Linked DNA regions of Schizosaccharomyces pombe. The gene in region 2 interacts genetically with the main gene of each other region. Each region holds a gene or a part of one and is shown on either strand. Other genes may lie near its edges.

Region 1 (5,985 bases), on a different chromosome or scaffold from region 2:
ATAAAACTTGGCAGAGTTGCGAAGAGCCAACAAAACACCACGAGAAGACCAAGAAAACTTGTATCCTAAAGGATTGTTGGAGTCCTCGGGAGCGGGAAGACCTCCACAATAAGACAAGAAAGACTTAATCTTACCGCCAGCTTTATGAACCTCTTCAATGGTCTTGATAGCATATAAATGATCAATACCGGGATCGACGCCGATTTCGTTCATACAAATAGAACCAGCCTTGATGGCAGCTTCCTCCAACTCAGCCATTTTGGGATTCACATAACTGGTGGTACAAACGTGTTTACCATGCTTAATGGCAGCTTTCATAACTGTTGCATGATAAGTGTAAGGAATCAAGCTGATGGTAAGATCATGTTCGGAAACAGCTTTCTCAAGAGCTGCTTCATCATTGACATCCAAAGCAATGGCTTTGCTGTTTGGGATACCATTAATAAATGCTTCAGCCTTAGAAAGAGTTCTGCATGCTACGGTTATATTATTTTCTTTACGACGAGATAAATATTCTAAAGTAGGATGAGCGACAAATCCCGAACCAAGTAATAAGATGGAAGGCATTTTGATGTTGAAAATGAAAGAGGCAGTCAGTTAAGGACAAGTGGTAAACCAAAGACTTCTGTTTTGTCGTCACGGTTTTAGCGATATATAAGGGGTTCCTTTTTATCCACAGATTTATTTCTGATGGCCGAAATCGTCGTCTAAATTGATGAAAACTGATTATCTCGAATCGGTTAAAAAAGCAGTCACATGGACCATTTTTTGAATTAATATTTAATCGTTACGTTTCCTCTCAATGTTATGTTTGGCTTACTAGGGGAATTCGTTATTATCGACAAGTTTAGTCGATAATTTGTTAGCAGCGATGTCGCAACTGATAGTTTTAGCAACTTTTTTTACGTAGTTTTTTTCTGCAGAACAGAAGTTGCTTAAAAGCTAGTAGATGCCATTCGTTGTTGTTTGGGGGTAGATTAAAGAATTCTAAGCTTTAGTATAAGAATAATTTGTTTCTCCTCTTTCTGCCTATCTGTTGTTCATAATCAACTGCGTAGTTCTGGTGAAGGAGTAAATTAAACTGCCTCGCACCGCCGTACTCATTTTTACCTCGAGTATGGTGGCCGTGGAATGGTGGTTTTTTATGCAGTCGGGAATGAAAGCAGCTGTAATTTCCTTGCATAATGAGCCTAAATACCTTTTTACATAGAAGTTAAAATTTATGAGATTTTAAATTAAAAAATCATCAAAAGTGCAAATTTTCAAGTACATATACGAATAAATTTAATTATAAAGTAAACCTAAACGTTGTTTAAAGCTAATTGCTTCTTGGTAACCGATTGCAACATGCCATCATTTATTTACATTGACAACCCGTAAATATCCATAATAGGTAGAATGTTATCGACAATGAATTTCAAATGCATATATATGTTTAAGTAAAACAAAATACTCTACACTAGCAGTCCCGCAATGGGAAAATAAAGAGGCAGCAAATATGAAAAGCTTCCGTCATTTCTTTTTCGGTCTTGCTAAAAAAATAAAACCACACATAGCTTAAAAAAAGTAACAATGACTAGACATAGCATGTCATGAAAATCAACTGTTTCTTTAAGCTTTTGTAGATAAACCGAAAATTGACAAATTGAAAGTTCCACCTAAAAATGCATCACTGTTGGATCCTCCCAAATAATTTAATAGAAATTATTTAAATTGCATGTTCTAAATCAACAGGTATTAAAAGATATTACTGGGGTTGTTGCGAATAGCGAGAAAGAGGGTTTTGTTGCTGGGAAAACTGCTGATGCATTGGGTTTCCCTGACGCCCTTGCTGAGTTTGATACATCATAGCGTTTGGCTGTGAATAAAGTCTCTGTTGCTGATCGAATTGCCGAGGAGATCCAGGTCTTCTTGACATACCATATGCAGAAGGATCAAACATTTGAGACTGTTGCATATTAGGTCGCATATTACCTTGAAATTGGGGCATTTGATATCCCATAGGGGATGACTGCAATCGGAAAGCTGAGGATCCAGATTCGAGATGCGTAGGTGGATAACGGTATAAATGCTCAGCCATGTACGGTGCTACCATGACCGGTCTTTGCATATTCATCTGGTTAACATTTCCGGAGTTATCTGACATTTGTAGTTGTGGATATTCAGAGCCCAGACGCTGCTGTTTATACATAGATTGATCAATATCTTGCATTTGCTGCATTCTGGATGGATGAGAGGAATACTGCATTGAAGGCTGACTTGACTGTTGATTTGAAAATGGAAGTTGACTACCAGTTGGCATTGGAAACCCTTGATTGGGTAAGCCAGCTTGAGTGGGGAAAGGTTGTAAACCATTCATACCACCCATAGCAGCAACTTGAGTAGCAGACATATGAGCTTGACTGGAAGATGCGCGGGAATTATTGTTATCTTTAGATATAATATCAATTAAGAAATCATACATTTCAGATTTTGATACTGCATTTGCAATATCGGATCTTTGTAGTGTCCTTCGTTGATTTTTTTTGGCATGAAGCCAAGCCCTCATAGTAAGCTCTGCAATAAATATCTCACTTCCTTTAGCGAACAGAAAAGGAGCTTCTGCCGAGATCATTTTATTCTAAAAAAATTAGTAAAAGTTAATGTCAAAAAGTATTCGAATACTCAAAGTAACGTACCTTCACATCATCGTCAGTTTTCATAACTTTCTGCATAATCAATAGTTAGTAATTAATTCAGAAAAAGTGGCATACCTTAATACGAGCTAAGGGAAGATGCAGAGTTTTTACAGCTTGATCGTCATGTTCCAATGTATCGATGGTTTTTTGCCAATATTCAGCAAGGGCTTGTGCATCACTGCCAACAAGACCTTGAGTAACATTATCAAATGGACTAGCAACCTCAATGGGTGCACTAGCGTTGTAGTGATTGACAGCAGTTGGATCAACATCGGGGACTGGTTGTTGGAAGCGAGAAACAGAATCTTGACCATAACCTATCCGTACCTGAGAATTAGGATTGCCAGAGGGATCAACATATTCTCCTAAACCTTCGGGAAAGCCTTGTTTCAAGGAATAGGAATCAGGAATAGAATTCATTTTGCAATGAATCTTAATTGAAAAACGAAAAAAAGTCTACAGAAAGGCAATTTAGTTTAAAAAGAAAACTGGAAACGTAAAGGCCTTTGCCAATTAGATAAGAGATCAATGCAATCTCACTGGTGACAGGTTTAAAAAAACGACAATGACAAAAATTGTAACTATGCCGGGATCTAACAAATACCAGTTTCCTAAAAACAAAGCTGTTAAAGAAACTGACAATAATTTAAGCTAAAGAATTTCAAATCGAAAATCTAAATATTAAGAGGCGATAAAGATGCGGATTAAAGAAAACTTCCAATACCTTGATGTACAGCTTAACAAAATCGTAACCAAGATAAGTAGAAATAAAATAGAAAGGGAGCGGAGTAGTCTCCGGTAAAATGGGGAATTAAACTTATATGAGAGGTGAGCAGGAGACGAAACAGGGAAGTAAAACAAATTGACGTCAAGTTGAAGAGTGGAACGGAAAGAAAAAAATAAAAAGTTTTACAATCGAAAGGAACACGAACGGCTAAACACGAGGCTTAGTTGCAATATCTAAAAAGATAAATACCAATCGTCTTAATTCACGAAAAACTCGTAGAATGAGTAAGACAAAGCAACAAGTGCAGTTACTAACGTATCTCTAACACATTAACTTCTTAAAACAAAGAACTTCAATAAAGAACACTAGTAAAGCACCTTAACTCGTCGAAGTGTCTTGAATTATCTATGTAGCGTATTACACCTGGCTTAATTAAGTATATAGAGTGCAAAAACACTCAATATAGCGAAAATCGGTACGATTGAATTTATTGGTGGCTGGCAGAAGATGGTTGGCTGTCACACAACTTATTGATGGAACCGGTTTATAGTACCACATACTTTGTTTCTACAATTGCTAAAACACTTTAACGACACGTAAATATTCATTATTTGATATACATAATTAATGTTTTCGCGGTAGTAGATATAATACTATAAACAATAGCATGTGCAAATATTATTCAGTAATTAAAGCAAACAGAATAGAAAATACGTATAGTAATTGACTTCAATCCAGGAATTACATTAAAATACATCCTTGTTAATTGAATCTTACGCCTTTTTAAAGTCCTCGCAAAGATAAAGCTTACCGCGTTACAATTTGTTGGTCTTACAACAGTTCTTTAAACGTGAAAGAGTAATTGACCTTTATAAATAGAATTATTTTGAATGTAATAAATTCTTATTTTTTGTTTTATCATTATAATAGTAGGAATTAGAAAACACTTTCAAGTAGCTAGGTTTAGCATCTTTATAAATAAGTATGATTGAATAAGCAGAGATTAATTATTTTTAAGAAATTTAAATATATCGTTTTCAAATTAACCATTTGAGCCACAATCATCTAACTAGTTATTTGAAATATCATAAAAAAATCATTGCAGAAATCAGTTTGAAGCTGCTTAAGTCACTCATAATAACAACATAAAACACTTATTTGAAGGTTTGCACTTTACTATATGAGATGTTTGTTGCTGGTAATATCGTAAGCAACGATCAGCAAAAGTTCTGTTGTAGCGTTTGATTCAACTTTCCTGTTTGTAATTACCTTTGATTTAATAAGAAATTTCCTTTTTCTAAATACTGACTGATCTTATCATATAAATGCTTTGCTCTCAAAAGGCTTGGCTGCTTGAACCTGACCACTCATCCAATGCTATAAAATTCACTAGTTGTATAGGTGTCACCAAACAGTTTATTGAGATTAAACATTTAAAGCTTTAAAACTAATGAATCAGTTTTATTAAGCATTGGTAGCTTTTCTTTTCGTTTTGAGGAGAGTCCAGTTGTTAATGATAATTGCTGCTAGTTTTATATCAGATTTACAATCACGAAGATATCCTTCACTTCTTCATTTCAATCATTTTTTGTTTTTCTTTCATCTTAAGGCTAAGAAAGGATGCTATCACGATTCATTAAAAGAACATATAGCACTCAAACTTCTTCACCTGTAGTCGGCATCATCGGTTCTGGGCCGGCTGCTTTTTACACAGCCCACAGACTCTTACGAAATGACCCAAATGTCAAAATAGATATGTTTGAATCCCGCCCAGTTCCATTTGGGCTTGTACGTTATGGAGTTGCCCCAGATCATCCAGAAGTTAAGGTAAGTCTGTTAAGCCAAGAAATATTGATTGGTTTAAAAATGGATCTTATTAAATTTATTATACAGCTAACCTCTATTGTAGCATGTAGAACACAAGTTTTCCGAAATTGCTGAGTCTACACAATTTCGCTTCCTTGGTAACGTAAACGTTGGGACTGATGTTTCTTTACGGGATTTGACTAAAAATTATGATTGTTTGGTCCTTGCCTATGGAGCTGCTGGGGACAAGAGACTGGGAATTCCAGGGGAGGACTTGTCAGGTGTTTATAGTGCGCGAGAAGTGGTGGGTTGGTATAACAGTGATCCCAGAAATCAAAATCTTGAGTTGGATTTAAGTCAGGTAGAGGATGCAGTAGTTATTGGACATGGTAATGTTTCACTTGATGTAGCTCGAATCCTTTTAAGTAATCCTGCTCAATTATCCCCAACTGACATTAATCCATTGTTCCTCAAATCACTTGAAAGAAGCAATTTAAAAAGATTACACATTGTAGGAAGAAGAAACATATTTTCTGTCTCGTTTACTATCAAAGAATTGAGAGAACTGTTTGCCCTATCAAGTGCAGTTTTCTTTGCTCCTTCCTTTAATTATTCTACAAAGTGGATGAATGAAACAGATGCAAGCGGTTTGGATAGACCTAGAAAGAGATTGTTAAAGCTATTAGTTTCCGAAATCCAGAAAGCTGTTTCAGAGAAACGAGTAGCCCCTTATTCAAAAGACAAGAAATGTTGGAATTTGGAATTTGGCTTAAC
Region 2 (5,271 bases):
AACCATATCTGTCCGTACAAAGTTTATGGTAGAATCGATCACTAATCTTAAAGAAAACAAAAAAACAAAAGTTGCCAATGCTAGCGCCCAATCTAAATTTGAAGCTGTAAATCAGCTAAAGAAATTTTTGGGTTCGTTAGGCAACCGCTCATTAAATGCTAGAGAGCCTTTACGAGTTACTTTAGAAGATATTGAGCAGATTGAGACGAAAGGTCGATGGTGGCTTGTTGGAGCTTCTTGGAATAATGTTCCATCTGGTGACAACACATTATCTACTGAAGCATTACAGGATAAGAAAAAATCAGAAGAACTGACGGCCCATTCAAAAATTTTACAAGCTGCTAAGAAGTTAAGATTGAATTCAACTCTTCGAACTTCGATATTCGTTGCCCTTGTTGGTTCAGAGGTATTCGTTCTAAATTTCATTAACTTTAAACTAACAAACTTAGGACTACATTGATGCATGGGAAAGAGTGCTGAAGTTGCATCTCAAAAGGAATCAATTACCTGAAATAGCTTATGTAATTTTGCATTGCGTTGGTAATGAGAAATTGTATAACCCGTTTTATGGTTTGGTAGCGTTAAAATGTTGTACATTGCAGCACAATTTGAAAAAGTCATTTCAATTCTCTCTTTGGGATTTCTTTAATGAACTACAACCAGATGATGATAGTGAAGAAAGAGAAATATCCATGAGACGCATAGTTAACTTGGCGAAGCTTTATGCGTCTTTAGTCATTGAAGCTGCACAGCCCTTAACTATCCTCAAAGTACGTATATTCTAAAAATTTGATTGTAATTACTAACTCAATTTTAGCATGTGGATTTTATGGCCATTAATGCCCAAATGCAAACGTTTTTACTGGTCTTTTTTACCGATATAATTTTGGGAGTTAAAGACGATTTACAACTCGTAAAAATATTTGAAAACTGCAAAGCAGAGAAAAACCTTTCATCGAAAGTGGATTGGTTCTTAAAAACTTATGTTCGGAAAAATCCTTTAGTGGATAATTCTAAAAAAGCTCTGTTCAAGTCTAATCTTGCGATGGCTAGCGCCATTTTACAGAGCATTTCCAAAGAAGAAATTTGAGTTTTCATCATTTTCTTATGTACATATATAGTATATCGTATACTATACTATTCATAAAAACTTAGGGTTACGGTTATAAATAAAAAGGTTTTGGTTTGAAAACTGACACATATATACACCTTCAGTAAGTTGGTTATCATTATTAAGCTTATTTATGCTTGACATTGTCTAAACATAAACTATAATATTGCAACATTGAACATATACTATAAAGAATTCATGATTTACCTGCATACTTACTTTGACTTAACCAATTAAACAACTATTATAAGGAAACCGGATGCAAAATGATATTATGAAAATTGGCATTTTGGCCAAAAATTAGAGTTGAAGCTAAAACATAAACAATAAAGAGAATTAAATAAAATTAGTAATGGTTTCTGTTGAGAGACACACACATGGGTATAGACATATTTCTAGACACTATTACTCATGTAACCAAATCAATTTTGCAAAGAAACGAAGAAAGGGCAAAGCTTACTTACTGAGTCAGATACTAATTATTATTGACGATTTTGCCCTTTTGAAAAAGAACAGAAGGAGACGAACTTTAATAAAATTACCACTTATCAGCAAGAGGGAAGCTAGAAGCCCACTCAGCGACTTCTTTTTGAAGTTGAACAAGCTCGGGGTATTGTTCACCTTCACCAAGTTTAGCCTTGAAGTCTTTGAGCTTGTTGGCGTCCTTGGGAAGCTCCTTTTGTAAGTTGGCGGCAAAAGTAAGAGCACGGTCAATGTAGTCAACAACACGAACAAAGTCTTGTTCCTTGAATCCACGAGTAGTCATGGCAGGGGTTCCGACACGAATACCAGAGGGAGAGAAAGCAGATTTGTCAGAAGGTACAGTATTCTTGTTGGTAACAATGTTGATCAATTCCAACACGCGCTCAGCACGAGCACCGTCAACACCCTTGCTCTTGACATCAACCAAAACCATGTGACTGTCAGTACCGTCAGCAGCAAGTTTGTAACCACGCTTTTTGAATTCCTCTTCGCAGACCTTAGCATTTTTAACAACTTGAGCTTGATACTCCTTGTAAGCGGGCTCTTGGCATTGCTTCAATGCAACAGCCAAAGCAGTGATGGTGTGGTTGTGGGGACCACCTTGATGGCCAGGGAAAACGGAGAAGTTGATCTTATCCTCCAAGTCATAGTAAATGGGGTTACCCTTCTTGTCATGCTTACGAAGACCACGACGGAAGAAGATCATAGCACCACGAGGTCCACGTAGAGACTTGTGAGTGGTGGTAGTAACAACATCAGCATATTCAAAGGGGGAAGGGATAACACCAGCTGAGACAAGACCAGAAATATGAGCCATGTCAACGACCAAGTATGCGTTAACGCTGTCAGCAATTTGTCGCATACGAGCGTAGTCAATGAGACGGCAATAAGCAGAAGTACCAGCAACAAGGATCTTGGGACGGAATAACTGAGCGTCGTGCTCCAACATGTCATAGTCAATCAAACCGGTGTTAGGATCAACACGGTAGGGCATAGACTCAAAGTAAGTAGAAACAGCACTAATCTTCTTGGTATCAGTTTGATAACCGTGAGAAAGATGGCCACCTGAAGGCAAGTCAAGACCCATTAAACGACCGTGAGGAGGCATAATGGCTTGATAAACTTGCATGTTAGCGGGGGAACCGGAAAGACATTGAACGTTGACACCCCATTTAGCAGGATCAAGATTGAAGGCAGCAAGTGCACGCTCTTGGCAAAGAGTTTCAATTTGATCGATAAACTTGTTACCACCATAGTAACGAGCACCAGGATAACCCTCTGAATACTTGTTGCTCATGACACTTCCAAGAGCATCCATAACAGCACGAGAGGTGAAGTTCTCAGAGGCGATAAGAACAACAGAAGAACGTTGACGATCAGCTTCGTGTCTCATAATTTCGGCAACAGTGGGATCCTGTTCCTTAAGAGGAGTCAACATAATACTGTCGTTGGAAGACATCTTGAAATATTGTAAATATGCTTCTTGTTCTTATTCAAAGAAAACCACACGACAACGCCTGTAAAGACAAGAGTGATACACTAAGGATAGATTTTTTTTGCCAACTTCTGGTAATGGTAAAAAAAGTGACTGCTCTTTAGGATACATGCTAGCAAGTCTGAGAAAACAAGATAAGGAATATCTAAGCGAAATGTCTCCCTAATACTATTTAACGAATATTGTTAACAATTGATAAATGCGCAGGTAAGTAAAAACATCAAAATGAGCATTCCTCATTTATTTTTTTGATCCATAGAAGAGTTATAACATTAGGTGCTTTTAGCTAATAGGCTATGACAACTTAGGTAGATTTTAGATTAAAGATATATGGGAGAAGGCATGTAAATTTCTGTTATTTAAAATATTTTCAAAAGCATCAAAAATGATTTTAAGGAAAGATTTCGTAAATAAAAATATAAAGCAGTCATCAGCTAGTAAATAGATGGGCAATTATTAAATGCTTTAGATTCTTAGAATCGCGTAGAGGAGATATGATATGCGGTTTCTTGTTTTTCGTTATGATGAACTTTGACTAACATTCACAAACTATTGGCATTAAACTACCTTATGGAAACCAATGTTAAAAATAACGATCTTCAAAAAACGGAAGAGAGGTTAAAACAACAAGCTATAAAAGTTTTCCGAGCCTAGCCAGATGGTAATTTATTGTATTTTCGGATTTTGTTTTACGATGCTAAAAAAAAACTGTCAGTAGAAAGTGCATAAATATTTATAACCGTTACATACCGTTGTCTTCATGCAATTTTCGAGGGCTGCAACTAAATTCGCGCATTGTGCTGTATCTGTTTGACCACCATGATTTTGCCAGCATCCTAGTAATGCTGCCATCTCTTGGCCACATGGTATGGTATTTTTTTCTCTTTTCGGTCGGACTCTAAGTCTACTTAAGCCTTGCAATCTGGGAGGGTTTACAATTTTCTTCGACATGATCAACAAGGGTTGTGCCTTGAGTGACACGACTAAATTAAGTCTTTAAGGGAGAACAAAATAATTTTAGGTAAAGGTATTAATCTTTAAAGGAAACTTTAAAAAAAAGAGGACTCAAAAGTGACTTTTCAAGGTACCTTACCTTCTCAAACAATACTACACGAGATGGTGAAGTTGTCATCTGCATTTTTAGTGCGCAAGCCCGCTATAAACTGGTTTAGTGAGTTTAGGAAGATATTCTTTCACCGTCTACAACCATGCTAAAAGTTATCAGCCAAAAAGTGGTAGGAGGTTTATAGATTTTTATTAGAAAGTAGTTTTAATTATGCGTTTCAACTAACATTACAAATCTAACTTGAATTAGAAGGAAACCTCAAGAATCTAGATAAAAATGCTCTATCATTATAATAACGAACTCCCAGCAACTCATATTTACATTCTGCTTTCTACGATACTACACTACACTATGCTATGCTATATTACTTGCGTATCACAATGTGTCGTACGATAGAATACTAGTTAATACCTGCTCTTTAAAGTTTATGAATAACTATTCTTCTATTCATATATATATAACTTCTAATAAATAATATTAAAAAACTAAATATAGTGTGACCACTGAACCTCGTTCCTCAGTTCAGCTAAGCTATTTCAGTAGTATGTAACATATAAAATCCATATAAGATAATACCTATAGCAGCGCTTGCTGCACCACCTGTATACGTTTATATTATATAGTAAAGAAAATTCCACTGCAAGTTTACGTATCGATAAAATAGATAACAAACTGCGTAGCTAATATTTAAAAAACTGCATTAAGCATCGTTCTTTGAATGTTCAATGCTTTACATTCAAGACGTTTGTTGGTATATTCTTTTGCTGATTCATTATAATTTTCTTTCAAATTTAGAAATAAAGTTATTGTACCTAAGTTAAAAATTCCAGAGTTTTCTAGAAAAAAGAAGAAAACAAGAAACTGGTTACTCAATTTCCCTTATTAGGGAAAATCGGTTGTTTAGTGAAGCTTTTGTTTGGTGTGCTATTGTCAGTTTCATTTACATAGTAGGATTTGGTAATTTTTTGAGAACGCTCTCTTTAAGTGTACTCCTGTTTCTCCCGTTTACGGCTGATTGCTTTTTTGCAACGTTCCGGGTTTGTTAAAATTATCTGACTATGTCTTCACTACGTCTTCGTTTAAAATACGAAAATCAGTCTGCTGTAGAGACAGTTG

The links.
Region 1: mutations in shm1 (region 2) and php5 together harm fitness more than expected from each alone (negative genetic interaction), as found in Schizosaccharomyces pombe (one large-scale study listed by BioGRID).

Annotation. Positions count from the first base shown.
Region 1 is NC_003423.3:3,392,603-3,398,587, forward strand, and holds php5 (CCAAT-binding factor complex histone fold subunit Php5), read right to left. Parts: upstream 3,905-5,985; 5' UTR 3,099-3,904; coding exon 2,754-3,098; exon of another isoform or gene 2,709-2,753; coding exon 2,679-2,708; exon of another isoform or gene 2,621-2,678; coding exon 1,748-2,620; 3' UTR 1,302-1,747; downstream 1-1,301. Other genes in the region: lys9 (saccharopine dehydrogenase), read right to left, coding at 1-567; mitochondrial [2Fe-2S] cluster assembly NADPH-ferredoxin reductase Arh1, read left to right, coding at 5,026-5,232, 5,315-5,985. UniProt on the Schizosaccharomyces pombe protein: Component of the CCAAT-bound heteromer, php5 is essential for DNA-binding activity. It is essential for transcription activation of cyc1. It is the linchpin that binds to the subunit association domains (SAD) of php2 and php3 to bring these proteins together.
Region 2 is NC_003424.3:3,067,965-3,073,235, forward strand, and holds shm1 (serine hydroxymethyltransferase), read right to left. Parts: upstream 3,136-5,271; 5' UTR 3,054-3,135; coding exon 1,650-3,053; 3' UTR 1,358-1,649; downstream 1-1,357. Other genes in the region: sgd1 (ribosome small subunit biogenesis protein), read left to right, coding at 1-406, 450-770, 818-1,090; mrp10 (mitochondrial 37S ribosomal protein mS37), read right to left, coding at 3,721-3,786, 3,840-4,040; ubiquitin-specific cysteine protease, OTU family, Otu1, read left to right, coding at 5,214-5,271.